3 linked regions of the Elephas maximus indicus genome follow. The protein of the gene in region 1 interacts with the protein of each later gene in a pairwise test. Links are inferred from orthologs where the notes say so. Each region holds a gene or a part of one and is shown in the gene's direction. Other genes may lie near its edges. The genes, in order: MOAP1, LATS1 and THOC1.

Region 1 (7,966 bases):
GGGTAGGAGGCACCATCAGTCTTCAGGTCCCTTGCACAGGTGGCTGGAAGGGGTGGAAGGCACTGCCAGCCCTCAGGCCCCTGTGTGGGTGGCCAGAAGGAGGAGGCATCTCAGACCTTCAGGCCCCGGCAGGGGTGACTAGAAGGAGTAAGAGGTGCTGCAAGTCCGTAGGCCCCGGCATGATTGGCTGAGCAAAGGGGTGGGCACCTCCAGACTGGACTCCCAGCTTAGGGAGCAGGGTAGTGGTGAATGCCGCTGGACTGCAATCACGTGCGAGGACACGGGGCTGGGCGAGAAGGGTTGGGGTGCCCCACAAGCCTGCTGGCCTCTGACGCAGGGGGGCTGGGGTGGGTGCAGTGGGTGGGATGCATGCACTTAACTTTCACAGGGTAGGAAGCAGTCCTGCCTTGCTTTAGCCATGAGTGGTTGAGCAGAGGGGTGGGTGCATCCAGACCAAGAGCTCCTGGCTTAGGGGGTGGGGCAGTGGTGAGTGCCGCCAGACTATGATTGTGTGCGGGGAGGGGGCATGGGCAAAGAGGATGGGGGTGTCCTACAGGCCTGCAGGCTTCCAGCACAGGGTGCTGCGGTGGGTACAGTGGGTGGGGTGCACGCAGTTGACTTTTGCTGGGCAGGAAGCACTCCTGGCTGGCTCCGGCTGTGTAGGCAGTCATTCCTGCTTGGCTGCACTAGGTAATGGGGGTTTCGGCTGGGAAAGCTGCTTGCTTTGTGTCAGTATGGCCGGGCTGTTCAGGTACGGCTAGCAGGGCACTGGCGATCCATAATTCTCCATGTCTGCTGTTTCTGTATTGTCTGTCCTTCCACTTGGCGCTTTGTCTGATTCTTCACCTTGTCTTTGATGCTTCAGATTCTTGTCATCTATATCCAATTCGCTTGTTTTTTTCAGGTCTTTAAGAGGGATGCTATGAAGCATCTGACTGCTCTGCCATCTTTTACTACCTCCTTTCCTCCTTTTTGAGAAGCAGTAGAGTGGAATGATAAAGAGCTGGCTGGGGCTCTGAAGCTGGACATCCTGGGTTCAAATCTTGGCTCTTCTACTTATTATGTATCACAGGCGAGCTATGAATTCCTATGTGCTTCAGGTTTCACTTTGTCTGCTATAAAATGGGGCCAGTTAAGAGTACAATACCTGCCTCATATGATTGTTGTGAAGAATCAATGTAAATTTTCAGAAAACAGCACTTGCATCCTGCAAACTGTGAGAAAGTACTCAAAAGACATAAGCAAATATCCAACCCTCACCTAAACACAGGTATTTCAAACAGCTGCGGGTGCTTGAAAATCCAATATATTGGATCAAAAGCTCTATCATTTCAGTAAATAGACCTTTGGAGGTACTAAGGGAGATAAATGAGATTAACTGGAGAAAGATCTGTTTGTGCTGCTTTTGAGTTACAAAGGCATCTGCTTTATCTTTCAAGTAAAACCTTGCCCCAGGGATGTTCCGCCTTCTATCCTGGTCAAATCAGATGCAGTGTTAAGGTTGAAGTTGCTAGAAAATTTTCAGACTTTCAGTAGCTCATATACAAATCGAGAAAGAACTTTCTCAGTAATATTGCCATTTCCCTTCTGTGGCACAGCTGGGCAGACAGTACCTAGTACTGAACATCTGTCGTTTGTGAGAAGTGCTGTGGTTCAGTGGTTAAGAACAAAGGCCTCAGAATGCCTGGTTATTAACTCTGGCTCTGCTCCTTACTGTGTGACCTTGGGCAAGTTACTGAGCTTCTCTGCCTCAGTCTCCTTATCTGTAAAATCTGGGTAACTGCTATCTCCAGGACATCATGCTTGTGAAGTAGACGGTTGGCTGAAAAAAAAGGAAGACCCTCAAGGAGATGGACTGATACAACAATGGGCTCAAACACAGCAATGATTGTGAGGATGGAGCAGGACCAGGCAGCACTTCGCAGGACCAGGCAGCACTTCACAGGACCGGAAAGCACTTCATTCTGTTGTACATAGGGTTGCTATGAGTCGGAACTGACTCTACAGCCCCTAAGCACCTAACAACAACCGGCGTGTTGTGAGGACTGAGTTAATTCATGTAAAGCTCTCAGAACAAGGCCTAACAAGTAAGCACGCACACACAAAAAAGCAGTTATAATTATTCTTAAAATCTATCAGCATAAAACCTCTCTCCTCTATTAATGACATTACTATATAAAGATACATCTTGGTCTCATCCAGAAAAAAAAGAACTCCTAAAATCTAAACTTCAATTTTTAGTTATCTGTATTGGTACCAGACAAGAGGTGGTGTGACTGCAAAGGAGGTACCAGGATCACATCTTTATGCAACTGACCTACTGTCTGAAGACTTTTTTCTTTCTAAACTATATTAGCAATTCAACAGCTCAACCCTGACCTTGAGCCGGGGGCGGGGGGGGGGGGACCGGAAGGGACAATGACTTGATAGTATCTTTTAGAGGGGCATTAAGCATCCTGAAGGAGTCCTGGTGGCACTACAGTTTAAGAGTTCAGTTAACTGAAAGGGTGGCTTAGAGCCCGCCCAGCAGTTCCACAGGAGAAAGACTTGGAGATCTGCTCCTGTAAAGACCACAACCTAGAAATCCCTATGCCAAAGCCCTATGGGATGGTTCTATGCTGTCAATGTGGTGTCACTGTGAGTTGGAATTGACTGGATGGCACCTAACATAGCATCTGCTAGAGACTGGACTACATTTCCTCTGATATTTTCATGGACAAAACTTTTTCTCCTCTTCTACATGTAAATTATTTCCAGACTTTCAAACATTTAGTCTCTTAGTCCATTTTTTTAAAAAAACAGACCATTAATAATGACATAGCTAGCCCTTACCAAGAAGTACAAATTCTGCTTGTCAAGATGGCAAGCACTAAAATAATCATACAAATTCCTCATAAGCTGACAGAAAGCAGGCATAAACAGCTGGCTTAGTTATCACAGGATGCATTGGTGTTTTAAAGAATTTTAAAGCAAGCCAAGTAGTTGTATAAAATTTAAATTTTATGACCATGTTTGGACATTTTTACATTTAACACAATGGAAATGTTTATATTCATTCGTTTTTTTTTCCCCAGAGGAAAAATATTGAATCACCACTATGTTACACAGTAGAATAAAAATATGAGTTCAGGTGCTTATTCAAGTTTCTAAAGAATGCAAATAAAATACACGATATTACTTCCAAAATCTGACATCATCAACATGATTTTGTAGTATCTCAGGCTTTAGCTAAAAATTCAGTATAATTCAGATGAAGATAGCCCCCCAGTCACGCTTTTTAAAAAGCCCCTGCCCGACCACAACTTCCGGAGAACTGTGAAGGAACTGCAGTCTTGTGATCAGACTCCAGACGGTGCTGGCAGTTTGGTAATCAGTAAGGAGAAAACCATGACTGTTTTATGTGTCAATCAGTTGTAGTCTGCTGATCTGATTAGAAGCCTTGACAAATGCCTGGTGGCGATTGCAAATAACTGCCAGGCATATTGGGATGATACAGTAGCCCACCGTTTTCGGGTCAGCTCTTGTACAAGAATAGAGGAACAAAAACATCTGTAGGTAAGGTATCAGAAAAATAATTGTCCATAACCAAAAAGGCAGGGAAAGTAACCGAACTTTCAAGGAGTGTGTCCATGTGGTTCCTTCAAGTGGTTCCTCAGGGTGCTGCTGAATGTGTTCCAAGGCCAGCCTGTTATAAGTCTCACTGATTTCAAAAACATAGTAAAATGCCGCTGCACTTGCTAATAGATACAATCCCACTCCAATCCATCCCATCCGCTGACGGAAGTTCATCATTCTCCATGCTCTGTGCCTTGAAATTAAAAAAAAAAAAAAGTTAAAACCAAAAAACCAAACCCATTGCCACTGAGTTGATTTGACTCATAGCTACCCTATAGGACAGAGCAGAACTGCCCCATAGGGTTTCCAAGGAGCAGATGGTGGATTCGAACTGCCGACCTTTTGGTTAGCCGCGGAGCTCTTAACCACTAGTTGGGCCTAGTATTGTTATCATAGCAGCAATTCCAAATACACTGGCTTTATTTCCAGTGAGCTTTTTCCCTCCAATGAGTTTTAAAATACAAGACTTAACACATTTAAGGTTTAAAATAAGTAGATTTACATTTACTGAGAAATGTAAACAACTTACAGGTTATTTTATGTAATAGTCATGAGCAAGTAAAAACCACTGGTTTCTGTATATACCGAGTTCTGCTTTTTATACGAATCCCACAGAGTAAATCACCACCCTGTGCTTAAGCAAGTCCAATACAGGTCCTCAGGAATTAGCTGGAGTTAAATTCCCCACGCAGCATTTCACTCTTTACGATTCAAGTACTTTCTGACTTCACAGTATCCCTTTAGACGTGAAAACTCGGTTTTACGAGTCAAACCAAAGCCGGAGCCCCCAACTAAGAACAGTCACTCTGAAACACTTACAGTGGTCCTGAAAATCTTCCTGTCCCCACGGCAAGCGTTAAAGAGTCACTCAGCTCTGAGTAGGCAGGCGGCTTGGGCATTTCAGGGAGAGCCACCATAAGAGAACTCCCATGGGTCACCCGCCTCAGAGAAGGGTGAGCTCGGCCAGCCTGGAGAACAAGCTAACAGTGACTAAGTCCAGCGTGACTGGGGCCGCTCGCGCGGGGACGGGGCCAGCCTGTCACCCGGCCCGGCCAGCAGGCGCCGGCGCCACCAGGGCCTCCCCAGCAGCCGGCCCCGCCCCCTGCCGTGCGGCAGCGCCAGCCGGCCGCGACCAGGGCGGCGCAGGCGGCACCAGGCCGGGGCCTCGCCGCCCCGCAGCCGGGAGCTCCGCGCCCAGCAGTGGCCACCGGCAGAGCAAGCAAAGCGGGGCAGCTCCGGGCTCTCACCTTCCTGTCCCGGGTGGCCCGCCCGCCCGCCGTACCGGAGGCCGCCGCAGTCGGGGCTTCCGGCTCGGGCCGGAAGTGCGCTCGCCCCGCCCCGGAAGGCCCGCCCCCTAGACGTCAGAGCGCCTCGGGCCGCGGCGCCGCTGCTCTGAGAGCGTCCAGACAGATCTAGGTGGGGTGCCGGGGGTGGTCGTGTTGTCGCCGGTGACAGCCTGTGCCTTCAGGGGGCCCCCGTCCGGGCCTGGCGGGCCTCGCTCGCGCTCGATCGCCCAGTCACTCCCGCGGCAGAGTACCGGAGAGACTAGGTGGCCCTGCATCCCTCGCCGTCGCCCTTTAGAGCCTCGCTCTCCGTCCAGTCTCCGTCCGAGCCGAGGAGAGGTCGCTGACCCGCTCCTCAGGCCTGGAGGCTTGGGAGCCGGCCCTGGGCACCCCGAGCCCCGGCAGCTGGACGCAGGCGTCGGCCACTAGATAAAGGTGGGCGGGAAGCGGGCCCTGCGAGCGGCTCCGCGGGCCCCGGGGTCCGCTGGGGGCGCCCGAGGCCGGGAGGCGAGGTCACATGGCTGCCGCTGCGGAGCGCGGAGGCCTGGGTGGCCGCTCTCGGCGTCGCCGGGGGTGGAGGATCCGCGGGGCCTTTCGCGTCCTGCTGTGCGGCCTGGGACCTTGACCCAGTTAGCTAACTCAACTGCTTTGTCCTCACAGGCTGCTGGAACTCGGGACGTTGACGTGACATAGCTGGGGGACCGCGGAGGACTACTGCGAATCGCGGTGGGCATCTGCGCCCCGCCGGTCCAATTAGAATTTAAACCTCTGTATCTTGGGCACCATGACACTGAGGCTCTTGGAAGACTGGTGCAGGGGAATGGACATGAACCCTCGGAAAGCTCTGTTGATTGCCGGCATCCCCCTGACCTGTAACGAGGCGGAAATCCAGGAGGCTCTGCAGGCAGGGTTAGCGTCCCTGGGCCAGTACCGACTACTTGGGAGAATGTTCAGGAGGGAAGAGAACAGGGTTGTAGCCCTTGTAGGACTTACTGAGGAGACTAGTCTTGCTGTGGTCCCTAAGGAGATACCAGGGAAGGGCGGTGCCTGGCGAGTGATCTTTAAGCCCCCTGACCCAGATAATGAATTTTTAAACAGATTAAATGAATTCTTAGAGGGAGAGGGTCTGACAGTGGCTGAGTTTACCAGCGCTCTTGGGTATGGAAACGACCCTTTTGACCTAGACCAAAACCTAGTCCCACACGTGGGGGCCCCTATGTTGGCAGAGGCATTAGATGAGGCCCTTCAGCCGGCCCTGCAATATCTGCAATACAGAAAGCTGAAAGTGTTCTCAGGCAGCGATCCTCCAGAACCTGGAGAAGAAGGATTTGATTCCTGGCTGTTTCATACTACTCATATGATGAAGACATGGCAGGTGTCAGATGCAGAGAAAAGAAGACGATTGCTAGAGTGCCTTAGAGGCCCAGCATTTGATGTCATTCGTGTCCTCAAGATAAACAATCCTTTCATTACGGTCCCTGAATGCCTACAGGCACTTGAGCAGGTATTTGGGGTTATCGATAATCCTAGGGAGCTGCAGGTCAAATTTCTAACCACTTATCAGAAGGCTGAAGAAAAGTTATCTGCCTATATCCTAAGGCTGGAGCCTTTATTACAGAAACTGGTAGAGAGGGGAACAATCGAGAAAGAAGTTGCGAATCAGGCCCGCCTAGACCAAATCCTTGCCGGGGCAGACGACAGAACCCTTCGGAGGAGGCTTGACCTGCCGGAGGACGGCCCGGCACCTGGCTTATTGCAGTTACTGACACTGATAAAGGAAGAAGCAGCAGCTGAGGAGGAGGAGGAGGCCCTTCTTCAGGCAGGACTAGAGGGGAATTTCACCTGAGTCTTAGGAAACCAGAAGGGGATATCTGACAGTGAGCAGAGCATGAAGGTACAGCAGCCCGTACTCACCAGAGTTAGATCTGAACCAACCCCCGGCCTTGTGCCGCCAAGTAACTCATCCTTGCACAGTGCTCAGTATAAAACCTTTGTCATTTCTGTGCCTACTTAATGTCTCCTAAGTGTGTCCTTGACTAGAAAAAATGGAATTTTGCACTGGTATTTATATATTTAAGTTCACACCTGTGATGTTTTATATAAAACCGTACAGAAGGGTGCATCACTACATGTATGCAGTGCTCTGAGGTTGCAGGCACAGCTCAGGGACATGGGCTGAGCAGAAGAGCTTGCTGAGATGTCAGTTTGTGTAATGACGGGAGCAAACGTAGCATGTCAGATGGGATAATATGGTATCGTAGGTCGTTTTTAGATGTGTATTGTCTCTTATATTTACCATGAAATCATGAACAGTGGTTAAGATATTAAATATTTTGTGCATGAATCAGAATTTTATTGATTCTGTGCAATCAAAAAGCGGAATTACATGCTGAGGCTGAAAAGTTTGCAGCTGCCACCTCTAGCCCTAGGTGTCTGATATGCGTTGAACGGTGTACATGTCCTGAATGTCGTTTTAATAGATATTATACATGTGAATTTATAAAATAAAGGAATGCTAATGAAGTGACTTCTTTTATCTGTTCTACTTACATTAGGGTTTCAAGAGAGGTTTCATTTGAACAAATGGTCCCAAAAGCTTAAATATGAAAACCACTGAGGTTATACAGTCTTCGTCCCTCTGGACTCTCTTCTCTTGGTTCCCACAGGGTAGGAAGTGCTTTACTAAGTGAAATTGCTGGAGGGACCTGCTACTGAAGCAGTGAAACAATGGAATGAAACAAAACTACACAAATTGTCCTTGTGTGCCATTGAGTCAGTCCTGGCTCATAGCAAGTCTATATGACAGAGTAGAACTGTCCTATAGGGTTTCCTAGGCTGAAGTCTTCACGGGAGCAGATCACCAGATTTTTTTCTCCCACTGAGTGACTGGTGGGTTCCAACCACCAACCTTTTGGTTAGCAGCCGAGTGCTTAACCATTGCGCTGCCAGGGCTCCTTGTACACAAAGTAGTGCATGCCTCTGTTAGAAAAGCTAAATATTTTTCTATATATTTTCTCATTTAATCCTCTGAAAAATCCTGCATTGTAGAAAAACTCAGTTTCACACTT
Region 2 (7,079 bases), on another chromosome or scaffold:
TAAAGTTGGTTCTTTGAAAAAATTGATACATCCCTAACAGGAAGAATTAAGGGAGAAAAAAACAATACCTGTTGCCAATATTGTATGTGTTGTGCCTCCTTCCTCCCAAACTATGGAAAACATACTGAAGTCTCCCTGATGTAAAGAATAAGCAAAAAACAAAACCATCCTCCAATTCTCCACCTACATCCTATCCACCCCCTTCTGTTAACTTCCAGACTTCTTGAAGAATCTGTCAAAATTCCATCTCCTCAGCTTTCATTCCTACCTTGATGGCATCTAATGACCAAAATGGCAGCCAGTGGAGAATGCCTGCACTAGACTGTGCCATGAATAAAATGTTACATAAATGCAACTTCTAGAGTCAATGTAATGCTTACATTGTTCCCCAACTGTATTATATACTTCAAAAGGACAGAGATGGTGTAGTGTAATGCCATTCAGCTATATGCATTCCCTCCTAATGGAGTCAGTTTTGCTCTTCCCTGAAGCATGCTGGGGATAAACTCTGGATAGACTTGGGCTGAGGTACAAGGCTGGGAGTGATGTGACTGGGCCGGTGGCCAAGGCCAAGGAACACCTTAGCGACAAGGAGGAAAACATCTGGGCCTGGAAGTGAAGTCCCTGGGAACACTGGCTTCCCAAGGATGTGGGAGAAAACAATGAGCCTTGGTCCCAGCTGGAATGGTATATAAGCTTATGTCCTTTGCTATGCAGTTGTGGAGCACTAAACTGGTCTAGCCGCTGCCCTGAGCCATGGTCCCGTTATAAACCATATGTTGTGATCACTGGTTCTGGAGCCTTTCTTTGGTCTCCTGGAGATGCAGCTGACCTTGGGTTCAGGTGCCACTGGGTTGTTACACAACAGACGGTGTCTTCATTTTAATCTCTCCACAGTGTTAATCATGGATTTGTGTACCCAACAGGTACAGTAAAAGTATTCTTTTTTTGAAAGAAATGGATCCTAATTTATTTTACTATAGTGAAGTGGTGATCTGGATCAAATATAAAGAATGAAACAAATTTGGAGAGCTGGCAGCTAATTTTAAATTCCAGATTAAATTACAATAGAGGCAGACCCCAGGTTATGAACAAGATCCATTCCCAAGTGTGTCTTTAAGTCTTTAATTTGTGGGTAACTCAGAATAGGTGCATATGGTTCTTATTTAGCCTTATTTTAGTGCAAAGGAAACCCTGGTGGCGTAGCGGTTAAGAGCTACGGCTGCTAAACAAAAGGTCAGCAGTTTGAATCCACCAGGCACTCCTTGGAAACCCTAGGGGGCAGTTCTACTCTGTCCTATATGATTGGTATGAGTTGGAATCAACTGGATGCCAATGGGTTTTCGGTTTTGGTTAGTGCAAGAAAAGGCTTGAACCTTTTTCAGTGATGTAAAAGCTGCACTCACAGCAAAGGAACGTGATTGTGATGAGTTTGCTGCCAGTAGGAGTTGGTTCCATTGTTCAAAGTGGGGACAAATTTATATAACATTAGAGGGCAAGTATGAGCTATCCATAAGTCAGATGTTTCTAACCCAGGGACTTATTGTATATGGAAACCATGATAGTTCGCACCCAGAGAAATAGCCCTTAGATATGGACCAACCACAGATGCCATCTCTGATTTATAAAATTTCACCTAGAAGACACCATAACAATCAAGAGGTGAGCATATACAGACAAAAAAAGTAGGAGCCCTGGTGGCCCGATAGTTAAGCACTCCACTCAGCTGTGGACTTAAAGGTTAACAGTTTGAACCCATCCAGCTGCTCTGTGGGAGAAAGACCTGAGGATCTGCTCCCATAAAGATCACAATCAGGAAAAGCCTATGGGACAGTTCTACTTTATTACATGGGGTCACCTAACAACAACAACTAGATGAAGAACCTCTTTATATAACAAAGGGGAATGATTGCCAAGATATATAATTAAACAAATATAAAACAAATAAAGCATGTCACAGAACAGTATGTATAAGGGGGGAAAAGGAAGGGAAGAAAAGAACGTAACTGTACTTGTATGTATGTGCATAGCATCTCTGGAAGGATGCACAAGAACTGGCAGTAACACTGCCTCCAAGGACGGGAACAGGCAGGTTGGGTAGACAGGGATTGAAGGTTTCACTGTTTCTCCTTTTTTTTTTTTTTTTTTTTTGCTACTTTGTTCCACTTGAATGTATTACCTATTTAAAAATAAAGTGAGATAGAGTAGTAAACGTCAAAGCCAAGACTTGGATGGTGAAGAGACAGGTTAAGGGGAACTAGAGATAAAAAAAAAAAAAGAGAGAGAGAGAGAGAATCAAGGGAGGACAGCAGCAGGGTCTGGCAAAGAGGTATAGTTCATAGCCAATAAGGAAAACAAGGTTACTGTGGACCATGCAAGCAAAGAGAAAAGCTCAGATTAGAAGTTGCAGCAGTACAGAAAGGTGGTTAGGAGGCACTGGAGTTGGCACTGGAGTCAGACTGCCTGAACTCATGTCTGGGTTTCCTCATTTAATTGCTATGTGAAAGTGCTGAGCTTTGTGGCTAGTATGTAGAAAGCTACCAATAAAGGTTAGCTGCTATGACTATCATGCAGACAAAGAGCAGCAAGTCAGGGGGTCAACAGTGGGCATGAGGCCAACATGCAGAAGTTTATGGGTGATTATTCAGGCAGAGCAGACAGCAAAAGTAGTAATCTAGAACACTGGACATGGGGGCACCGGACAAAGAACTTGGGAATGGAGAGGTAGAGACCCAAATATAGAGGGCAGGCAAGAGCTGGCAGCTATACTTACACAAGACAATGAGGTCAAGATTTGGTGAACAGGTAACTTCAAAAAAAACTGAGGCACTGACAATAGCTACAAAAGATACTGTAAGATAACAGGGATAAAAGTATTTAAAGAAAGATAAATATTGCGACCAACAATGTAGATACAGATGTCTAGGTTGTGATAACCGTGGAAATATTTTTTCGCCATTTAAAACTGAATTCAGATTTCAGTTGAATATCTACTGAAGATCTACCATTTGTCAGGCTGTAATTGGTGCTAAGAAGAGAGCAATCTGCAGAACAGATATTCCTACCTTCATGGAGCTTACAGTTTAGAAGGGCTCTTGGAATGTAATCTTTTCTTTCAACAAAGGTTTCCTCATTTGAACTTCCGGATACACTGGCCAGTCATTCATATAACATCAGAAAAAGAAGCCTTCAATTAAAAAAAAAATTTTTTTTTTTTTTTTTAGTTAGCCTTTAGTAGAAAAATGATGAAAGGAGGTACTTGAAAATGCTAACTATTTATTTTCTAGAGGCAGAACTGGCAAAGTGCTTCCTTACAAAGGATGGAGGGTACCTCCAACGATCCCATTCCAAGCTTCCGATTCAACTTAACAGGAAATAAAACTTCTCACCACTGGTCACTGTTATTCCTATTAGGACAATAATGACCTCCTCTTGTACTGATACTGGTGGCAGATAAAGGTCTCTAAAATATGTTTATTAATCTGTCCCGGCTCTAGGAACGTGTTATTTGGCTTGTTCGGAGAATACATATATGCTTTCGCTCACAGACTTACTCGGGGAAAGAGCATTAAGCAAGCATCAAAGTTTACTTCCAAGCCTCTAGAAATCCTGTATCTGATGGCCACCGCGAGGTACCAGAGAGCGACTCGTTGCTGTTCCCTTCTGAGAATTAAGCTCCTGGACACGCGTATCTTTATTCTATACCCGTTCAGAGCAAAAGCTCAATTGAAAGAAAGAGAATGAAATCCAGGAGTGGGCTTGGGTGGGGAAGAGCCCGACTCCACTAACGGAGCGTGTGTCATCTGGGCAGCGAAACGCGGGAGCGACGCGGCTGACACCAACACCCAGAGGTGCCGGCGGAAGTCGCGCGCGGGAGGCCGCAGGCAGCGCGCTCGCTCCCGGCCGCCGGGCGGGCAGAAGCCCCCAGTCCTCGGCCCCCGCGCAAGCGACGCCGGGAAATGCCCACATCCGGGAAACCTGCCGCGGAGCGCTGCGGCGGCGACACGGAGTGGAAGGCAAAATGGCGGCAGCGGCGGTGGCCTGGTGCTAAGGGGAGAGCCAGGTCCCCGCGACCCCCGCGACCAGCCGCGCTGGCCCGCGGCAGCCCCCCAGCGCTTCTCCCTGCCCTGCCCAGCCAGGGATACTTGGGGTCCCTGGTACGGGCTCCGGCCTCCTCGGCGCCCGCTCTCGGGCCCGTGGCCGCAGTCCAGGAGCCCCGCTCTCCCCTGCAGGTAGGTCCGCGGCGGGCGTAGCGGGTGGGGCCCACTCTTTTCGGGAGCCAGGGTTGGCGGGCGGTGGCCACCGGGGCCCACGCCCATCCTCGCTGGCGGGGGTCCAGGGGCTGCTGCGGACGGGCGGGCTGAGCCGGCCGGGGCCGGGCCTATCTGGGCTGGAAGCGTTGACCTGAGCTGAGCCGTGCCCTGGGGAAGCGTGTGTTGGCCGCGCCCAGCACTGGAGGAAGAGCCCCAAGCTTTTCGGGCTCGGAGGTGCAGGTTAAGCTGGGAAGAGTCTGCCTCCCTGGCGGCCTTGCGCCGACCGTTTCCCCGCCACCCCACCCCCAACACGCGAGTCAGCGGTGTCTGGCAGGGGAGGAGAGCCGAAGGTGGCTCCGAGAGAAACTAGCAGTGGGAGAGGTGCAGTTCTTTGGATCCCAGAAGCACCCGATCTGTGTATACATTGAAGAAATTCTATTATCTATTTCCAGTCCACTGTAATGTGGTTACTGTTCATAGTTGGAAGTGGTGAGAGAGATGGAAGAGTGTTTATGAAGAAGTGTGTATATAAACACAGAAGATGATGGAAAGAAAGTAAAAGGAACATTGCATATTTTCGAAGAGAGCTTGTAGCTCATAGAATAACTCTCAGGTGACTTGATTTAACCCCATACTCTCTCTTCTCCAATTGAAAGTCATTATTTAAGGGACCAAGTTTAATGTTTGTCTTTTTCATATCTTAATATGGCTTAAAATATTTATCTTCGTCTAGAAGTTCATTCATAAATTTAGTGAGAAGCATAGTCTCACACAAAAAAAATCATATTGTATCACTTCATCTTTGGAAATACATTTGAATACTTGAGATCATGGAGTTTGCCAGGCCACTATGGATTATTTATGAAGAGTAATTTTTTTTTTTTAATCAGTTTTCCTCTAGAAGGAAGAAAAGGTGGGATGTTATAATTGGAATTAGTATTCTTTGCTAAGGTACTGACATTTGTAGCTGTCCTTACCAAGGTTATTTCTTTCCTTTAATAAGTTAACAGGTAAAATGGGCTAGTTGATTGCCTAAGTCAGTGGGGGAATCTAACTGTTAAAGAGGTAGCATTGTGTTTTGATCGGCTGTGACTGCAAGAAAGTAGATCGTGGCACATGGTGGAGAAGGCACATTCTTTCTGTGCGTGCATATTGATAGACTGTGCCGTGCCACTCCTAAAGCAAATAAAAAGCTACTACAGCATTTTCGTTACAGCATTTTTTGGGGGTATGATAGTTGGACTTCATTCTGTAGGTTAAACTTTAAGTTTTTTATTTTTGTTTTTAAGTCTAGTCCTTGTTCTGTATAATACAGTCTGAAAGCAAACTCTGGTTACTTAATTGTTGTTTAGATTAGTGGAGCGTTTTTGTAGACTTCAGAAGTTGTTTAGTCACTGAACAACATTTTTATCAAGAAGAAATGGCAGTCATTTTTCAGCACATAAGTAAAATACAGTGATTATTTTCACTTTTGATCAGACAGTTCATTCTTAGAAAGTGAATTGAAGAGAATGTTATCAACATTACACAGGCTTTTCTTGAATATTCTTGTCTAAACAACTAAAACTATGAAGATTTTTCCAGCTAAGTAGCGGTACCTATTACTGTGGGCTATTCTCACAACTGATGTATTCAAAGCATTGAAACAGGTTATCTTTTTTGTAAATCTAGTTTAACCAAAGGTAAACTTGAATATCTTATTATGTAATGGTATTAGTTCTTTCCCTAAGTGTTGTCAAGATACTCAATATTTGTTTCAGTTTACTGATATTTGTGTTTTTGATAAATGTCTAAACTTTCAAAGAAATGGAGATTTTAAGTCCATTTAGCCTAACCAATTTCAGTGCCCCTTCAAAGATGATCCCTACCTGTTAAGGAGACTCAAAATGTAGGTGTAATGGAAAGATTCAGCTGGCTGTGTGACCTTCTGCAGGCCACTTTCCCTCTGTGGATCCATTTCCTTTTCTGTTGAAAAAAATACACACACGCATGTATGTCTGTGTGTGTGTTTGTATCTCCAAGATACCTTATTCTCTTTGAATCAGTGACATAGCAGGAAAAGTAAGACAAGTACATACGTAGGGCAAGAACATGTTTTGTTTGAACCATGCAAGGTGCATTTGAAGTTTTGAGGAGAAGGATAACAGCTGGGAGTTCAACGAAAGCTTCTTGAAGAAAGTGGTATTTCAGTGGGACCTCAAAGGATGGGTATAATTTCTACCAGAGGAGATACTGCAGGAGCTTTCCCAAGAACTCTTACTAGTTTCTGAGTTCATTATGACTCATGGCGACCCCATGTGTGTCAGTAGAACTGTGCTCCATAGGGTTTTCAGTTTCAGAAGTATATTGCCAGGCTTTTTTTCCGAGGTGCCTCTGGGTGGACACAAACCTCCAACTTTTGGTTAGCAGCTGAACACCAATCGTTTGCTCCACACAGGGATTCTGTCAAGGAGAATAAACAGGTAGTTAACACATAACATCGTGGTGACATCCTCCTTTTCAAAACCCTTGTTAATTATCTTGAACCTCTTTATTATCTTTATGATTGAGTGTATAACTTTGAGGCGTATTGAAGAACGGAAACCCTGGTGGCATAGTGGTTAAGAGCTACGGCTGCTAACCAAAAGGTTGGCAGTTCGAATCTACCAGGTGCTGCTTGGAAACTCTATGGGGCAGTTCTTCTCTGTCTTCTTATAGGGTCAGTGTGAGTCGGAATCGACTCAACGGCAATGAGTTTTTGTTTTATTGAAGAATAGTGGGGTTTTATCTTTCCTTTTCGCTTAAACTATTAGTTTTGTTTTTACCTTAAGTGGGTTACTTGTTGCT
Region 3 (7,911 bases), on another chromosome or scaffold:
GATTGTTATGTTTTCCTGACGAGATTACCCTTTAATAAATATGAAACGAGTTTATTTATTTCTGGTAATATTGTCTACAAGGCTACTTTTTCCAGTATTGATATAATAACATTACATTTCTTATTAGTATTTACAAAGGTTTTTTTTCCATCTTTTTATTTTAAACTTATCTGTCCTTACTTTTAAAGTGTGTTCTTACAAACAGCAGAGAGTTGAGTCTTGATTTTTAATCCAGACTGACAATATATGGCTTTAATTTGATATTTGGTCTATTTATATCTTTTAGTAAATATTTTGGAATAACTTTAGATTTACAGAAAAGCTGCAAAAATAGTACACACAGGTTTTGTATACTCCTCACCATCTCCCCCAATGTTAACATCTTATATAACCACAGTATATTTATCAACACTAAAAAACCAACACTGGCACATTACAATTAAATAACGAGACTTTATTCAGATGTCACCAGTTTCCCCATTAATGTCCTTTCTCTATTCGAGGATCCAATCCAGGATTCCACATTGCACTTAAGAGTCCATTTACTTTTAATCTGATTACTGAAATGGATGGGTTTAAGTCTGTCAGCTTGCCATTTGTCTTCTATTTGTTATATCTTCTATATTCCCGGCCTCCAGTAACAATCTCCCCATGGTGAGCCCCATCCAGCATCCAGGACTCCAAAGAGAAAGATAAAAAATAAAAAAAGATGCTGCTCAGCTCCACCCACAGGGCTTAACATTCCAGCTTCATGGCTACCTCCTCCCACCAAGGATTGGCCTGCTTGGGGAAGGGGGCATGGCTAGATGGACCAACTCTGGCTATGGCTCTCAAGCGCCATACTAAGAGGTACCAAAGGGCTGGAGTTCTCAGAGCAAGAAGCATTACCAGAGCAAGAAACTGCAGAGGAAGTTACAGATGTGGCATATCCAATAATTAGCTGTGAAGCTCAAAAATTTTTTTTTCTAAACTATCAATAATAAGATGTTCACTATGCTAAATAAAAGGTCGAGTTATCCTCTCTTTTTTAATAAAAATATTACATAACCATTGTCACATGATGAGGTGATCAAAGAACATGGACTCAAAAATGTAAAGGAAAAGTATGATAAAAGCATACCAGGCAGTTAAATAATACTGCAGTTTTTCTGGATTTGCGATGTTTGTGACATTTATAATGTACTTTCATTTTTCTCATTCCCCAAAATTATTCACTTTCATATCAATTTTTTATCCATAATTTGTATTCTTCTTCTTCTTAAAGACCATCTCTCCCAAAATGTATAAACTTCAGGCTAGATCAACCCTTCCTCTGATGTCTATTTTTGCTTCTATCATCAGTAATTTGTACCTTAAAATATATATACATCCATACATAAAGGCTTATACATACACATATACACACTCCATACAGAGATTGATTCTGCAGTTTCCTTTGTTCTCTAACTTTTTTTATATGATCTATATATTTTTTAATTTTCTTCAGTGATCTTAGAGGTATAGAATCTATTATTTTAGATTCTATTAACGCTTACCCTTTAGTTTTTTTTAAATACAGTTGATATACTTGATCCCACATCATTTTGTGAAGACTGTAATTTATTTTGGCTCCCCCTTTGATTAAGAAGTCAAAAAAATTTTTCCCTATATTAGATATCCCTTGGCCCTGCCTCCCATCCTCTGGGCCCACTTTTACACTTGCGACTGCTGTGACATCAGCTCCACACAGGTGAAAATGACAGCATTTCACCTCAGCTGCATCATATCTTTTTTTCCCTTGCCCAGGGCTTCAGTAATATTATGTCATTGCATAGAACACCTGTGAGAACCCTCTATGGACTCAGACATGCCAACAGCAACATTCCATGAAGCAGCCTTTGATGAATGAAAATTGAAGCCAGATGATAAATGCTGCCCCCATTTCTTCAGGCAGGCAGTTTTGAGGTACATAATTTGAGAGTCACCATCACTACAGCATTAGAAAGCACCCACTTACCCGGTCACTTCCTGATCACATGAGCGCTCCTGTTCACATCTACCACCGCTCAATTCACCCCTCTCTTCTCCCATGTATCCAGAAAACATCAACCAACTACCACTGTTCGGGGCAAAATCCAACTAGACTTCACCTGGCTCATGGGAGGTAATGCAGGTGTATACACCTGTTAGACCATAATCTCCAGCAGACTGGATCATTCAAAAGCTAATCCATCCCATTCAGAACTTCAGCAGGCAGTCCAACCTTCTCATTTTGGGACTAAGGAATGAAAAGGAAAGCAAACAATAACCCATACAATTGTAGATGAAACTCCCCCTCACCTCCTACATTAATTAGGACTTTTTTTTTTTTAATGATTTTATTTTGTTGCTGTTAATGTTGAGAATATACACAGCAAAACATACACCAATACAACCGTTTCTACATGTATTATTCAGCGACACTGATTACATTCTTCAAGTTATGCAACCATTCATACCCTCCTTTTCTGAGCTGTTTCTTCCCCATTAACGTAAACTCACTGCTCCCTAAGGTTCTTATCTAATCTTTCAAGTTGCTGTTGTCACTTTGACACCATATATAGTTTTTAAAAGAGTATAATGCTCAAGGCAGACTTTTTTTTACTAGTTAAGCTAAACTATTACTTGGTTTTAAGGCTGCAGGGAATGTTATTGGTTTAAGGTTTAAAGATTATCTCAGGGCAATAGTTTCAGAGATTCATCCAGCGCCCTTGGCTCCAGAAAGTCTGAAGTCCATAAGAATTTAAAATTCTGTTCTACATTTTCCCCCTTTTGATCAGGATTCTTCTATACAATCTTTGATCAGTAATGGTAGCAGGGCACCATCCAGTTCTTCTGGTCTCACAGTAGAGGCAGTTGTTCATGAAGGCAATTAGCCACATATTCCATATCCTCCTCCTATTCCTGACTCTCCTTCCTCTGTTACCCACCTTACTGCCATGAAGTCAATTCTGACTCATAGCAACCCTGCAGAACAGAGTAGAATTGCTCCATAGGGTTTCCAAGGCTGTAAATCTTTATGGAAGCAGACTGCCACACCTTTCCCTAGGTTTGAACCATCGACCTTTCCATTAGCAGCCGAGCACTTAACCACTGCACCATCAGGGCTCCTCTTCCTCTGCTGCTCCAGGCATAATTAGGACTTTTTGATAGCAAATGAAGTCCAACTCCAAACAGCATGAAGCTATAATAAAACGGATTTACTGGCTCATGTAACTAAAATGGATGGTGGTGGAGCTGTCATCTGACATGAAAAAGTCCAGTGCTCAAACTGTGCTGTAATCAATCTCTCTTTTCATCATCTCTCCCTCCTACCCATCTGTCTTCCCTACTTAACATTTTTATCTTCGTCTCTCTTCATTTCTTAGTCTATTTTTTCATCTTTAAGCTCTGTGTCTATGCATTGGCCTCACTTTCTTCTTCAGTAGATGGACTCTGTTCAAATGGTAGGGAAGATGGGAACAGTAGCCCAATATTCACCAAGGCCCCTGAAGTAAGAGGAATTGTGCTGGGCAACCAGTATGGCCAAAGGATATCATCCAACTGGCTGTTCAACATCCAAGTGCCCTTCCTAGTATAAACCCCAGCTCTTCTTGGGTTTGGATTTTGTGAAAAAAATTTTTTTTTTACTTCTGAGGTCTCAGCTATGTTCCAGATTAATAATCATTTTTAATGTGATGATAATCATATTACATCAATTACCTTCAGATTAACAAAGTATATTTTTAAACTAAATCCTTTTTGCTAATTTGGAAATTAAAGTTATACAATAAAACCTGAATGATTTGATTGGTTCTAAAAATAGACTGCAATGCTCCAGCTAGCCATCAGTATGCACAATTTCCACTTTGCGATAAGGCTCTGTGGAAATTATCTTTTTATTAGCTTCCTTTATCCTTGTTGGATGTAAATAAAGGAACAGGCAAGATACAGCAGGTCTAGCTTTCTTCACTTAGGTACATGCGGAAGCAAAGTTTGGGGTCGGTGTCTCTTACTGCACTGCATAACCCTAACGGAGTGTTACTGCCAGTAGGTTTCTCACTGGCCACATCTCTCTTGTGAGAGGAGGAAAGGGAAGAAACTGCTTAGGAGGCATGGTTTTGCAAGGGCTGCCTCTGCCCTGGACCCAGTGCCAGCCACTTTCGAATCAGCGCCGGGTACTGCACTTCTGCTCCGTCTTTCTCTTCAGTAGAGTCCTATTATGCGCCAGTAAAGTCAAATGAAAAGTTGACTTTAAAGTCATCTTGATTCCAAGAGTAAAAATATTAATAATAAACAATACTTACATCGCTTTTACCAATTTATAATGCGCGTAGTATTCATTATCTCATTCCAGCTTTTCAACAGCCCTGTGAGCCAAGTATCATTTCATTCCACAAGGCTAATATTCAAATCTAGAGTCCTTCACGACTTCAAATCTCAAGCTTCAGGCTGAATGACTACGGTTCGGCGGCCACGGCCATCATTTCCGCAGCTCGTTGTTTCTACCAAACGCACACACCTTAAATTCTCGGACACCAGTTACCTTCCTGCGCCGCCCCTCTGAGGCCGTAATTAGCCGCCATTCACCCAGCTTTCCAACCCCAGGGAAACCACCGCGATGCAGGTGGGCGACCCCGCTTTTTCCCTGCCCGGCAACGCCGAGCAGGCAGGGCGAGGCCGCCCACATCCCCCAACCCCAAGGGCCATACCCGCGAAGGCGGATTAAGCACTGCTTGACCGACTCAGACTTCCAACGCCCACCCGAACTCACGCGCCACGGAAGCTCTCAACTCACAACTTACCCGCCCCACGGTTCACAGGCCGCTCTAGCCGCACGGAGCTGCCAACTCGCTGCTCCCGGCCTGACGTCATCGGCGGGCGCCGCAGCGCGGTGGCGGGCGCGCGCTGCCGGGAAGATGTCTCCGACGCCGCCGCTGTTTAGTTTGCCCGAAGCGCGGACGCGGTTTACGGTGAGCTTCGGCGGCGGGAACGTGCAGGCCTGAGCCGGCGTTGTTCTTTGCTCTCCTGTCCTTCAAATTACTCGAATTTTCCCCTGGGGTAGAGCGGGAACAGAGGTGTGTACGCCTCGGCGTCTACTCCCGGCCCCGTCGGAGGCTGGGAGATAGGGAGGGGTGCGCTCCCTAGCTTTTTCGCGCGTCCTTTGCTGCCTGTCCCCGCCCTCCCGCCGGCAGGTCTCAGGACCCTGCGTTCTGGGTGCATTTGCGCTTTGTGTGGAGATCTCACCGGAAGAATACCTCCGGTGCGGTCCAGCTCCTCTGCAGTGTTAGCTTAGCGGGCAGGTGTCTCCAGAACTAGAAGGGGAGCTGCTGAAGGGGGAGGGCGGGAGTGGCTCAGCCTGGAGAACCGGTTCTCGCCCGAGTTTCTAAGCTGCCGAGGTGGTTGTACCGGCCGCCGGTTCACCACCCTTTAATCTTCCGTATCTCAGTCCCAATAGATGGAAAAGACGACCCTAAGTGGGGAAAAGCAAACAGGTCAGCTTGGGAAGGGTTACCAGATGTCACCGTATTCTTGCGTGTTGGAGAAGGGTGGTTTAAGCATTTGGGAAACACCGTTCCGAGCGCTTTCACGTTAGCTCATTTAACTCTTAGACTAGCACTGTGATAGGCTAAATTTTATTATCACCAGTATGTGAGATAGAAACTGAGACCCCCAAAAGATGTTAAGTGGTTTACTTCACTGATTCTTCTGACTCCAGACCCAGTATTCTTTATGTTGTGCATCGCTGCTCCCATTATGAAGAAACACTGTTCTTCCTAAGTTGTTTGGCTGTATTCTTCTTTAGCATTTGTACCAGTATTTCAAGGCATGGTTCAACTCTTCAGGTATTTAACTGTGATTGGGTGGTAATAGTGATGCCAGAATGAAAATTCTGTGGAAAAAAAAATTATTCTTTGTAGTCAGTCGTTTTCTTTCTGCAGGTTTTTTTTTTCCATATAGTGTGGGGTTTGTTTTTTAACGAATTATATAATGTCTGTGTGATCATAATAATTTTTTGTGTGTTTTTCTGTCATCCTTGGTGCCTTGAAATTCTAGGAAGAGTAACAGCTAAGAGTAACTACTAGGAATATCCAAGGTCGTATTAGTCCTGGAAAGGATGGTGTAATTTGAGTTCATCTAGTCCAGTGCTTCTCAAACTTTAGTGTGCAGTAGGCTCACCTGGCTACCTTGTTCAGTGCAGGCTCTGGTTCAGTATCTGGAGTGGGGCCTGAAATTCTGCGTTTCTAACAAGTTGCCAAGCAATGCCACTGCTGCTGCTGGTAGTATGGGTCTAAGACAGCCCTCTTATTTTATTGGTGAGGAAAATGAAGCAGAGAGAGTAAGAGATATGTCCAAGATTATACAGCCTATTGGCGCAGGACCAGGCAGTATTTCATTCTGTAGTCCATAGTGTCATCGTGAGTCGGAAGATACTCTGCAGCACCTAACGATAATGATAATGACAAATTAGTGGGAGAGCCAGGAATGGACATTTCAGCATAGCTCTTAACTCCTCTAGAGTCATCTAACACAGTGACTTTCCAAGTGTATGTGAATTTTCACAGAACGAATGACCTTACAGTATTTGTGTCTTTAAATTATGACTACTTTAAGATGGTCAGCAGTTATTTATTCAGTGCTAATTACATGTCAGGGACTGTGCTGAGCAGGCTACATAGAGAAGACGGACTGGAGGTGGGTCTTGAAAAACTTATAGAATTTGGATGAGAAGGTGGGAGTATGAATGTGAACACACTAGAATGAACTTGATAGAAAATGATGAAAAAATGGCTAGAATTTAGTGTAGCGTTTCATGTTGGAGAGTAGTGGGGAATAAGATTGGATAGACCGAGTGGGATAGCATCAAGGACCTTGAGAGGTAGGTATGAAAATTCAAAATGAAAACATATGAATAAGAAGCCATTTGGAGTTTTTTTTTTTTTTTTCCAAAGTAGAATGCCATCATGAATGTGATAGTTAAGGGGATGATATAAGGGGATACCTGGAATGAGAAAGGCTAGCTAGTACGCTCTTGCCGGGTTTAAAGTGATGAGGATTTGTATTAGTTGGTGCCATTTGGAATAAGGATCATGAAGAAAAAGGTGTATAGGTAATTTTTCCCAGGTATAAACATTTTTTTAGTTAGGCATACTAAGCTATATTAATAATTATATTTTTTTAGTAAATAATAACAAAATCTTTCTACTTATTTGCCATTTTTATTTTTCTAGAAGTCTACCAGAGAAGCCTTGAACAACAAAAACATCAAGCCATTGTTGAGTACCTTCAGCCAGTTACCTGGCAGGTAAGGCATTGACACCTATGAAAATTGTTTGCCTAAATCTTTATGCTTACCCTGAGCTGTTTAAAAAATGAGGCTGTCTTTCTTTCCTTAATAGTGAAAATGAAAAAAAATGCACTCTTGATCAAGCTTTCAGAGGTGTTCTAGAAGAAGAAATTGTAAGTTTGGTTTTCCTTAATTGTTAAAATTTTGCCAACAAATTACTAATCCCAGAGTTACTACAAAAAAACATTGCTTTTATTGTTAGATTGGATATTTAAACATGGTTAAGGCACCTTTTTTTATTTTTTGTACAGTGCACTTGCTACTTTGTGAAAGTGGACTTGGTCATAGTATATAAAACCGGAAAACCAAACCCACTGCCATTGAGTTGATTCTGACTCGAAGCAACCACATAGGGTTTCCAAGGCTGTAAATCTTCATGGAAACAGACTGCCATACCTTTCTCCTATGGAGCCCACTGTACCACTAGGGTTTCTTATAGTCAGTGTAGGCGTTGTATAATAATTAAGGATTTTGATAGCACAAATGCAATTTAAGGGTTTGGTTTAATAAATGAAGAAGAGCCCTCTGCAACTGAGTATAAAAAGAGTGTGGCTTGAGGTCTTACT

The links.
Region 2: the proteins of MOAP1 (region 1) and LATS1 interact in a two-hybrid assay, tested with the Homo sapiens proteins (2 studies listed by BioGRID and IntAct). The two-hybrid records come from large-scale screens. The link is inferred for Elephas maximus indicus from reciprocal best matches to the Homo sapiens genes MOAP1 and LATS1.
Region 3: the proteins of MOAP1 (region 1) and THOC1 interact in binary tests that used the Homo sapiens proteins (3 or more experiments, as listed by UniProt). The two-hybrid records come from large-scale screens. The link is inferred for Elephas maximus indicus from reciprocal best matches to the Homo sapiens genes MOAP1 and THOC1.

What each region holds. Positions count from the first base shown.
Region 1 is NC_064828.1:106,763,691-106,771,656, reverse strand, and holds MOAP1 (modulator of apoptosis 1), read left to right. Parts: upstream 1-4,965; 5' UTR 4,966-5,333; intron 5,334-5,558; 5' UTR 5,559-5,682; coding exon 5,683-6,744; 3' UTR 6,745-7,419; downstream 7,420-7,966. Other genes in the region: LYSET (lysosomal enzyme trafficking factor), read right to left, coding at 3,397-3,808, 4,435-4,532.
Region 2 is NC_064819.1:220,990,928-220,998,006, reverse strand, and holds the start of LATS1 (serine/threonine-protein kinase LATS1), read left to right. Parts: upstream 1-3,981; 5' UTR 3,982-4,232; intron 4,233-7,079. UniProt on the Homo sapiens protein: Negative regulator of YAP1 in the Hippo signaling pathway that plays a pivotal role in organ size control and tumor suppression by restricting proliferation and promoting apoptosis.
Region 3 is NC_064829.1:26,422,686-26,430,596, forward strand, and holds the start of THOC1 (THO complex subunit 1), read left to right. Parts: upstream 1-4,885; 5' UTR 4,886-4,916; coding exon 4,917-4,970; intron 4,971-7,229; coding exon 7,230-7,303; intron 7,304-7,397; coding exon 7,398-7,458; intron 7,459-7,911. UniProt on the Homo sapiens protein: Component of the THO subcomplex of the TREX complex which is thought to couple mRNA transcription, processing and nuclear export, and which specifically associates with spliced mRNA and not with unspliced pre-mRNA.